Oryctolagus cuniculus: one gene and its partner. The protein of the gene in region 1 interacts with the protein of each later gene in a biochemical or structural test. Links are inferred from orthologs where the notes say so. Each region holds a gene or a part of one and is shown in the gene's direction. Other genes may lie near its edges. The genes, in order: PAX3 and SOX10.

Region 1 (3,369 bases):
TACAGTGTTGCTTCACCTACACTGGCCCGACTTTGCACGCACACACAAACACACACACACACAGCTGCTCCAAGTAAAGGGAGATAATGAGAGGAATACTGAGGAAAAAATGATGAACTGTCTTGCCCTCTGTCTCTCAGCTAACTGATGATGCATCAGTTGAAAGCGTTAGTTCAAGATTCCTTGGTTTTGGAATATGAGGATACAGGCCAGTTCCTTGTGCCCACCCACAATGCTCCCACCTTGCTGGAATCCTTACATCCAGGATTCTCTGGTCTGAGATTACCCTTGAGTGAGACCTGCTTTGCCATTAGCACCAAGGCCCATAGTCAGGGCTTGATTTTTACTTCTGCCCTCTCTTCTTGCTCCATTGGCTTTAAACTTCCTCAAATAAATCAGGACTGTTCTGGAAACATTGTGCATTTAAATACTTCTAAAGTAGGATACTTACTGAGTAAATATTTAAATATTTAAACAGAGAATTTAAATACTTTGTAAGTAGGAGTGCTTTGTGGAGACTTCACCCAGCAGTGAGTTTTTCCCGCAAAGGTTTTTGAGCCCTGCCATGGACATGTACAAAGTAGAGAAAAATCACTTTCTCTCTTATGTGGCAGTTTTCCAGCTGCTACATCAATCACCCACTTACTTCCATCACTGGGTGTTGGACGGGTCAGTGAGCTTGAGTTTGCAAAACATTCACCACGCTGATCGGAAAGTTGTTCTGTTAACACTCTTTTTTTTTTTTTTTTTTAAGTTGTTTTACTCTCCAGAGTTATTTATGAAACTGAACTTTTGAGAACATGTTTGCATTTCAGGCTTGTCTTTCTGTTTAACACTTCTCTATACAAACTGTTGTTTTAGAGAAGAAAAGAAAGAATAAATAATAATGGCAGTCACTTGGAGATTGTTTAGCTTTCATTCATTTGGCATGAAATCTGTGCCAACTACTGTGTTAGGTACTGGGATACGAAGTTACTCCTCTCCAAGTTCACGCAAGTCAAAAGAGGAGACAGAAATAACGATTCCACAGTGAGAAGGGCGAGAAAAGCGCGTGGGACTAACTCTTTCTAATTACTGAAGGATGGTCAAGATAAGGAGACAGGACACCATGAAAAAAGACACAGGGGTCTCAGGATCCACGGAAAAAGAGCTTGCTTTTGTATCTATTTAACTTTTTAAATATGTAAGCAAATGCCTGTTTAAAATCACATGCAAAACTCCCAGATGGAAGACACGATTAAACATTTTTTTTTCTATATGTGGAGATAAAATTTCTCTCCCTCTCCATCCCTTCTTTCTGCTTCTTTGAAATTCCAGTCTGATTTTATCACTGGAGACATGGTGTAATCTCTCTCTCTCTCTTCCCCTCTCCTTCCTTCCTCTCCTTTCCCTCGCTTCTCCCTCCCCTTTTCCTTTCTCTGAAACTGCAGTCAGATGTTATCTCTGGGCATGATGTAATAGCTCTGCCGCTTTGCATCGAGGTCACAGTCTTTCCGAAAACTCTTAACGGATTTCCAGAGAAACAGTAAATGGACTGTGCAGTTATTCATTCAACTACGGGCTACTCTGTGTTCCTCCCTGAATTTTAACTTCTTCCTCATTGGCCTGTTTGTTTTAGGTAATGGGACTTCTGACCAACCACGGTGGGGTACCTCATCAACCTCAGACGGATTACGCCCTCTCCCCTCTCACTGGGGGCCTGGAACCTACCACCACGGTGTCAGCCAGCTGCAGTCAGAGACTAGACCACATGAAGAGCTTGGACAGTCTGCCAACATCTCAGTCTTATTGTCCACCCACCTATAGCACCACGGGCTACAGTATGGACCCCGTCACAGGCTACCAATACGGGCAGTATGGACAAAGTAAGCCTTGCACTTTCTAGGGGGTGACTTCTCCTGGAGGGAAAATAAATTCAACTCATGCTTCAGCAAGGGGAACTGTAGGCATGATTAAGCCTTACCTCCCAAGATCGTTCCTGTGGCAAAGCCAGCCGACTGTTCCAGCAAGGCCTCCCTTGTATAATTATTTTCTTAGCTGATGTCAACAACATCTTGCGGTTATTAATTGCTGAGACGTGAAACCTGATTGCCACGAGGTAAAACACAGGGGCTGGCCAAAATGCAATAACCCCTGGCATTGGAAACACATGTTCTTAATGAGGTCAGCTCAAGGATCATATGGAGTGTAATCCCAGGGACACAGACTTGTGTCAAACTTGTCTCGGGAATAAAAATATTAGTCTCAATCCTTTGATACTATGGTATTAAATATGACATTGTCAGCCTGTAGCTGATATTGCCCCTTACTGTGAATTGTCCCAGCTTGACCTAAAAAGCTGCATGTGTTTCCTTACAGGTGCCTTTCATTATCTCAAGCCAGATATTGCATAAGTGAACTGTCCACTTGGAGCGAAAACTGGCCCTGTTTCTGGTCTCCACAGCTTAGACATGAAGAATCTCAGAAAAAAAAAATCAACCCTTTGGGGAGAGGGCAGTCCCAACAGGAGACAAAGAAGAGTGACCGATTTTCTTTCTCCAGTAGTTGGTTTCGAGTTCTCTCAAACGTGTTGGACAAAAGCAATGGAGAAGAGGAAGAGGTGGAGCAATAAAAGACAAATGCAACATTTTATTGCAATGGCTATGTGTCAAAATATCCCAACTCTTTAGTGCTGATGATCAAGGAGCTAAACATTCCATTTGCATGCACCCACACATGTATGTGCGTGCGTGCGTGTGTGTGTGTGTGTGTGTCTGAGATTTACCTTGACTTTTAAACTGTAGAAGGACAACACCCTCTCACATGTTTGATGTCCAAGCCTGATGCTTCTACAACTTCAAAACTGCTCCCTAATGAAGCAAGAATGGAGGACTCCTTAACTTGTACACACTGGAAATTGATATAAAAATAAATGGCACCATTTTTAGGAAGCTAGATTAGATATAAAGGACCTCCTAAATAAATTATTTGTTATTATATGCTCATTTGTAATCTAGTTGTCAATAAACGTCCCAGAGAAGATATGGGATCCCAGGAAGGAAAGTTTGTCTTCTTTTCCATTGTTGGGAGAGGTGTGTGGCATTTTCCCCAACCACATTCACTTGGAAGCCAATCTGGGTGGCAGTGAGGGCCTGGTGGAGAAGAAGTGACATGAATTCACATATCTGCTTATCAGTGTGCAATACTGTGTACCTCACAGATGCTTTGGCATGGCCAAGGTGATATAAACTAAATCAGAACTATATTTTTTGCAGGTGCTTTTGTTTTTACAGCCCATAACTCATTACAGTAGAATGCAGTGATGTTTGCCATTTGCTGGACAACAAACACTTGGCATGCTCCTTTTGGCTAGAGACCGTCAGAGAAGAA
Region 2 (4,290 bases), on another chromosome or scaffold:
CTCGTCCCTCCGTCCCTCTGTCCATCCAGGGCGGCTCCTCTCCGGGCGCTTCTGAGGCCGGGCGGGCGCTGTTAAAAAGCTTTTTATGTGTGTGTGTGTCCATCACATGATTGCCGTTGCCGTTCACCTGTGCTTCGAACAAAGACGGCTCACTGTTTCAAGGCCCGAACAAGAGTCTGGGCACAGGGAAGAGAGGGAGGCGGGGGGAGGAGGGTTGGCAGCACCGGGGGTGGCGTCGAGGAAAACTGGGGGGAGATTGTCCAAGGCCAGCGAGCGAGAGAAAGAGAAAACCCTTATCAAACTCCTAATTCACTGGGCTCCGAGGCCCCGGACACACTGGCCCGATTGTCTGTCGGGTTGTGTGTGCGCAAGCATGTGTGTGTGTGTGTTCCAGTGTCCGCCGCCCCCACCCCCAACATGCCTCTGCCTCGTGTGACTACCTCATTGTGTCCCACTCCGCCCCCCACCCCCTTGGCTGCCCCAGACCCCCTTCCCAGCCCGGCTGCAGCCAGGAGCTCTTTGGGGTGGTCAGTGGGACCCAGGCTCCGCCTGCCCCTGCCTGCCTACCTGAGAGGGGAGGGGAGAGGAGCCGTGGGTGACGGTCCCACAGGAAGGACCACAGGGGGGCACAGGAGCACGTGGTGACTCCCCCTCCCAAGGGGAAGGAACTGCTCCCAGGAAGTGGGGCTCGATGACGACCCCATGCCAGGGGCCCCTCCTGTGCCTGGGTGGAGTTGGGGCGCCGGCACTGGGCAGGGAGCGTCCAGCTGCCCCCACTCGCCTGGTAGGGACCTGGCATCTCTGTCCCATTACCGCAGTTTGGGGCAGAGAGAGCGAACTGGGGGAGTGGGAGGCCCAGTGACACGGGCTGGGCCGCAAGGCCTGTTACGCAGGCGGCCGGACAGGACCCCCCCCCCCCCACCTGCCTCCCTATGTCTCCCATCCGTCCTTTGCCAACTGTGATCTTGCCACCTGAGGCAGAGGGTGAGGGCACCAGCTGGGCCCAACCCCACCCCCCCACCCAGCAACAGGTTCCCGCCCTGCCAGTCTGCACCCCCGCTCCCTGCCCCTGAGCTTCCCAGACTAAGTCCGAGCTAAGCCTAGGCGAGCTGGGTCTGGGCAGCAGTGCCCGGGCAGGGTGGGGGGGCCCCTGAGTGTTGGGGACGAAGGAAAGCGCTGGAGGCTCCACCTTCTGCCCTTCCCTCCCTCCCCTCCCCCTCCCCCACTCCCCCCCTTCCTTCCCCAGCCTCTGCAGCCCGCGGCTCAGTCGCTCAGTCAGTCTCAGGCTGTCCGGCCAGGGTGGCTGGTGCTGTGGATTCAGGCTCCGTCCTAAGAGGCCGTGGCCTGAGGCTCGGGGCCCCTCAGCCCCTCCCTCCCGGTCCACCAGCGCCACCCCCCCCAGCCCCGAGCTGGACCGCACACCTTGGGACTCGGTTTTCCACTTCCTGAGGACGAGCCCCAGGCTGGAGGAGAGGTCCGAGGAGGTGAGTGCGCCTGGCCGGCCAGGCCTGGGCCCCTGCCGGGCGGAAGGGAGAGGCGGACGCCCCGCGCGCCCCACACCTGCCCCTCTGGATCCGGGTCTGGTAGAAGGCAAGGTGAGAGAAAAGTGGGAAATTCCAGGGGCCGGGATTAGAGCCGAATAAAGGGTCCGTTTTTCTTCCTTTCCATCAACAAACCTCCACCCAAAAGGAGGTTTCAAAAGAAAAACCCACCCACACCAACAGACGGTTGGGGCCAGGTGGTGGGAAGGCGCGGAGGCGGGACGCGCCCACCTGGGGTCTGGCATGTGCGAGGGGCCCCAGCGGCCGGCGCGGGCTTAGCGCACGCAGGGAGGCCCGACACCTCGGGGCTGCGCCCGCGTCCCGGCCCGGCCGCCCTCGGGGCTGCGCGCGCCGCCGCTCCATTGCGCCCTCCTTTCCGACCAGGTGGGCGTTGGGCTCTTTGCGAGGACCCCCGCGGCGGGCCCGGGGGAGGCGGCCGAGGCGGCGGCGGCCGGGGGCGACATGGCGGAGGAGCAGGACCTGTCGGAGGTGGAGCTGAGCCCGGTGGGCTCCGAAGAGCCCCGCTGCCTGTCCCCAGGAAGCGCGCCTTCGCTGGGGCCCGACGGCGGCGGCGGCGGCTCCAGCCTGCGAGCCAGCCCCGGGCCCGGCGAGCTGGGCAAGGTGAAGAAGGAGCAGCAGGCCGGCGAGGCGGACGACGACAAGTTCCCCGTGTGCATCCGCGAGGCCGTCAGCCAGGTGCTCAGCGGCTACGACTGGACACTGGTGCCCATGCCGGTGCGCGTCAACGGCGCCAGCAAGAGCAAGCCACACGTCAAGCGGCCCATGAACGCCTTCATGGTGTGGGCGCAGGCGGCGCGCCGGAAGCTGGCCGACCAGTACCCGCACCTGCACAATGCCGAGCTCAGCAAGACGCTGGGCAAGCTTTGGAGGTGAGCGCTCCCCGGCCCGACCAGCCAGCTGCGACGCGTTCGCGCCAGGCGGGAGCGCCCCGTCTCCTGCCCCCCGGGGCGGGGTCTGCCGGGGGCCCTTTCCCCAGGGGCAGCCCCCTCCTGGGATGCGCCTGGAGGACCAGGTGCAGGGACCGTGCCTGCCTGGCCTCCACAGGCGCGCCTTTGGGTTCTGCCCGCTAGCGACTCGAACTCTGAACTGCAGCCGCCTAGGCCGGGTCTCTTCCCACCCCGGGTGGCGGCCAGGAAAGCGCCCCCTCGCGGTTGGAATTCTTTCGGTGGCACCTAGGGCCTCCGGGGCTGCTCCTCCGGGAGCCCACCACAGCCCCTCACTAACTCCCTTCCCATGTAGGTGCACACCCAAGGGGGCCAAACTGCCACCATCTCATCGCTCGGGAGGATGTGAGGGGAAAGGCTTGGGCAAGCACCGGGGGCGTAGCTGCAGATTCGGGGAAACTGAGGCAGCCAGCTGAGAAGTCAGGGGAGGTCTGAGACCACGGCGTTCGGATGAGGGGCAGGGAGTGGGGGTAGGGGTGGAGAGCTGCCAGGGGGTTCTCACCCTGGCCCACCTGTCTCCACTGGGTCCTGGCCCCGCCCTCCCTTGGGCGGGGGGGGGGGCTGCTTCTCTGGGAGGAGGGGCACCCAGGACACCTTGCTCTCTCCCACCCTGTTCCAGAGCCACCAAGCTGGCCTCTCTCCCTTCCTTGCTCTCCTGGTTGGGCGCCATCTTTCCTCCCAGGGCCCCACCCAGAGTTGAGCAACCTCTTCCCCACAGCCCCAGAGTTGGAGCCGAGCACTCTGGCCAGGAGGACACCCTGGTCTCCGTTCTGCCCAGGGTCCCTCAGAGCCCCAGGGACAAGCCCACACCTCTGGGGAAAACCGCGTAGGGGGAAAGCCTGGCCCCTTAGGGACGTGTGAAGCAGGGGACCCCTCAGCCCCACCCTGAGAGCCCTCATCCAGCTCCAAGAGGGAACAGAGGCTCAGGAGATGCCGGCCTGTGGTGGCCACCTGATCTCCATCACACTGCCCAGGACACAGGCCCAGAGAGGCAGGGCCACTGCAAAGGTCACACACCAGCTGGTGGCACAGCCGGGCCAGAGGTCTTCCCCCACATTGTGCCCGGCATGGTGGTCACAAGGAGCGGGATGGGGGGTTTCAGAGACTGGGCTCTGTCAGCGGAGCCTGCTGCCTGTCCCTCTCCACTAAGCCAGCAGGGTGGAGGTGAGGGCTAGAGGGCCCGAGGCTTGGATGCTGGGAGGAGCAAGAGGGTCCCTGCGCCCAGTCCCCTGGCCCGTCCTTGCCATGTGCTCGCCTGGTGCCCCTTCCCCTCCCCCACCAGCCCCTGCTCATCCTGGGCAGACCCGGGCTTGGTGACCAGCTGCTGTGTGTCCAGCTCTGCCAGGAGCAGAGGTCGCTGCTAGCTCCCCTCTGTCCAAGGCCCCTCCAGACCTGGGTGGGGCTTGGCCCAGGCTGGGTGCGCGGCGCCTTGGCCGCTGTGGAACAAAGAGGCAGTGAGAGACACAGCCAAAGGGAGGCAGACGGAACAGCGCCGGGGACCTTGGGCAGACCCACGCGTGAGCCCGGCTCTCCCACCACCTCCCATGGCCAGGGTCTCAGGTTGCCCCTCCATTGCCCCTGGCTGGGCTGGAGGTCCCTTCAGAGGGACTTGCTCCTGGCCAGCTCTTGAGCTGTGAGCACAGGGGCCTACCTGGGCAGGGCTGGCAGGAGAGCAGGACCCAACCCCAGTGACAGGAGGGCAGTGGGACAATAGCGAGGATCAAAAGCTGTGCCCACAGATGGTGGCAAGGGTCCCCACAAACATCTGGATGTGAGCGGGGATG

What was found.
Region 2: the proteins of PAX3 (region 1) and SOX10 form a complex in vitro, tested with the Homo sapiens proteins (2 studies listed by BioGRID and IntAct). The link is inferred for Oryctolagus cuniculus from reciprocal best matches to the Homo sapiens genes PAX3 and SOX10.

Annotation. Positions count from the first base shown.
Region 1 is NC_091434.1:17,160,060-17,163,428, forward strand, and holds the end of PAX3 (paired box protein Pax-3), read left to right. Parts: intron 1-1,618; coding exon 1,619-1,865; intron 1,866-2,358; coding exon 2,359-2,389; coding exon of another isoform or gene 2,390-2,393; exon of another isoform or gene 2,394-2,544; coding exon 2,545-2,611; 3' UTR 2,612-2,631; downstream 2,632-3,369. UniProt on the Homo sapiens protein: Transcription factor that may regulate cell proliferation, migration and apoptosis. Involved in neural development and myogenesis. Transcriptional activator of MITF, acting synergistically with SOX10.
Region 2 is NC_091442.1:114,780,602-114,784,891, reverse strand, and holds the start of SOX10 (transcription factor SOX-10), read left to right. Parts: upstream 1-1,261; 5' UTR 1,262-1,484; intron 1,485-1,925; 5' UTR 1,926-2,003; coding exon 2,004-2,431; intron 2,432-4,290. UniProt on the Homo sapiens protein: Transcription factor that plays a central role in developing and mature glia.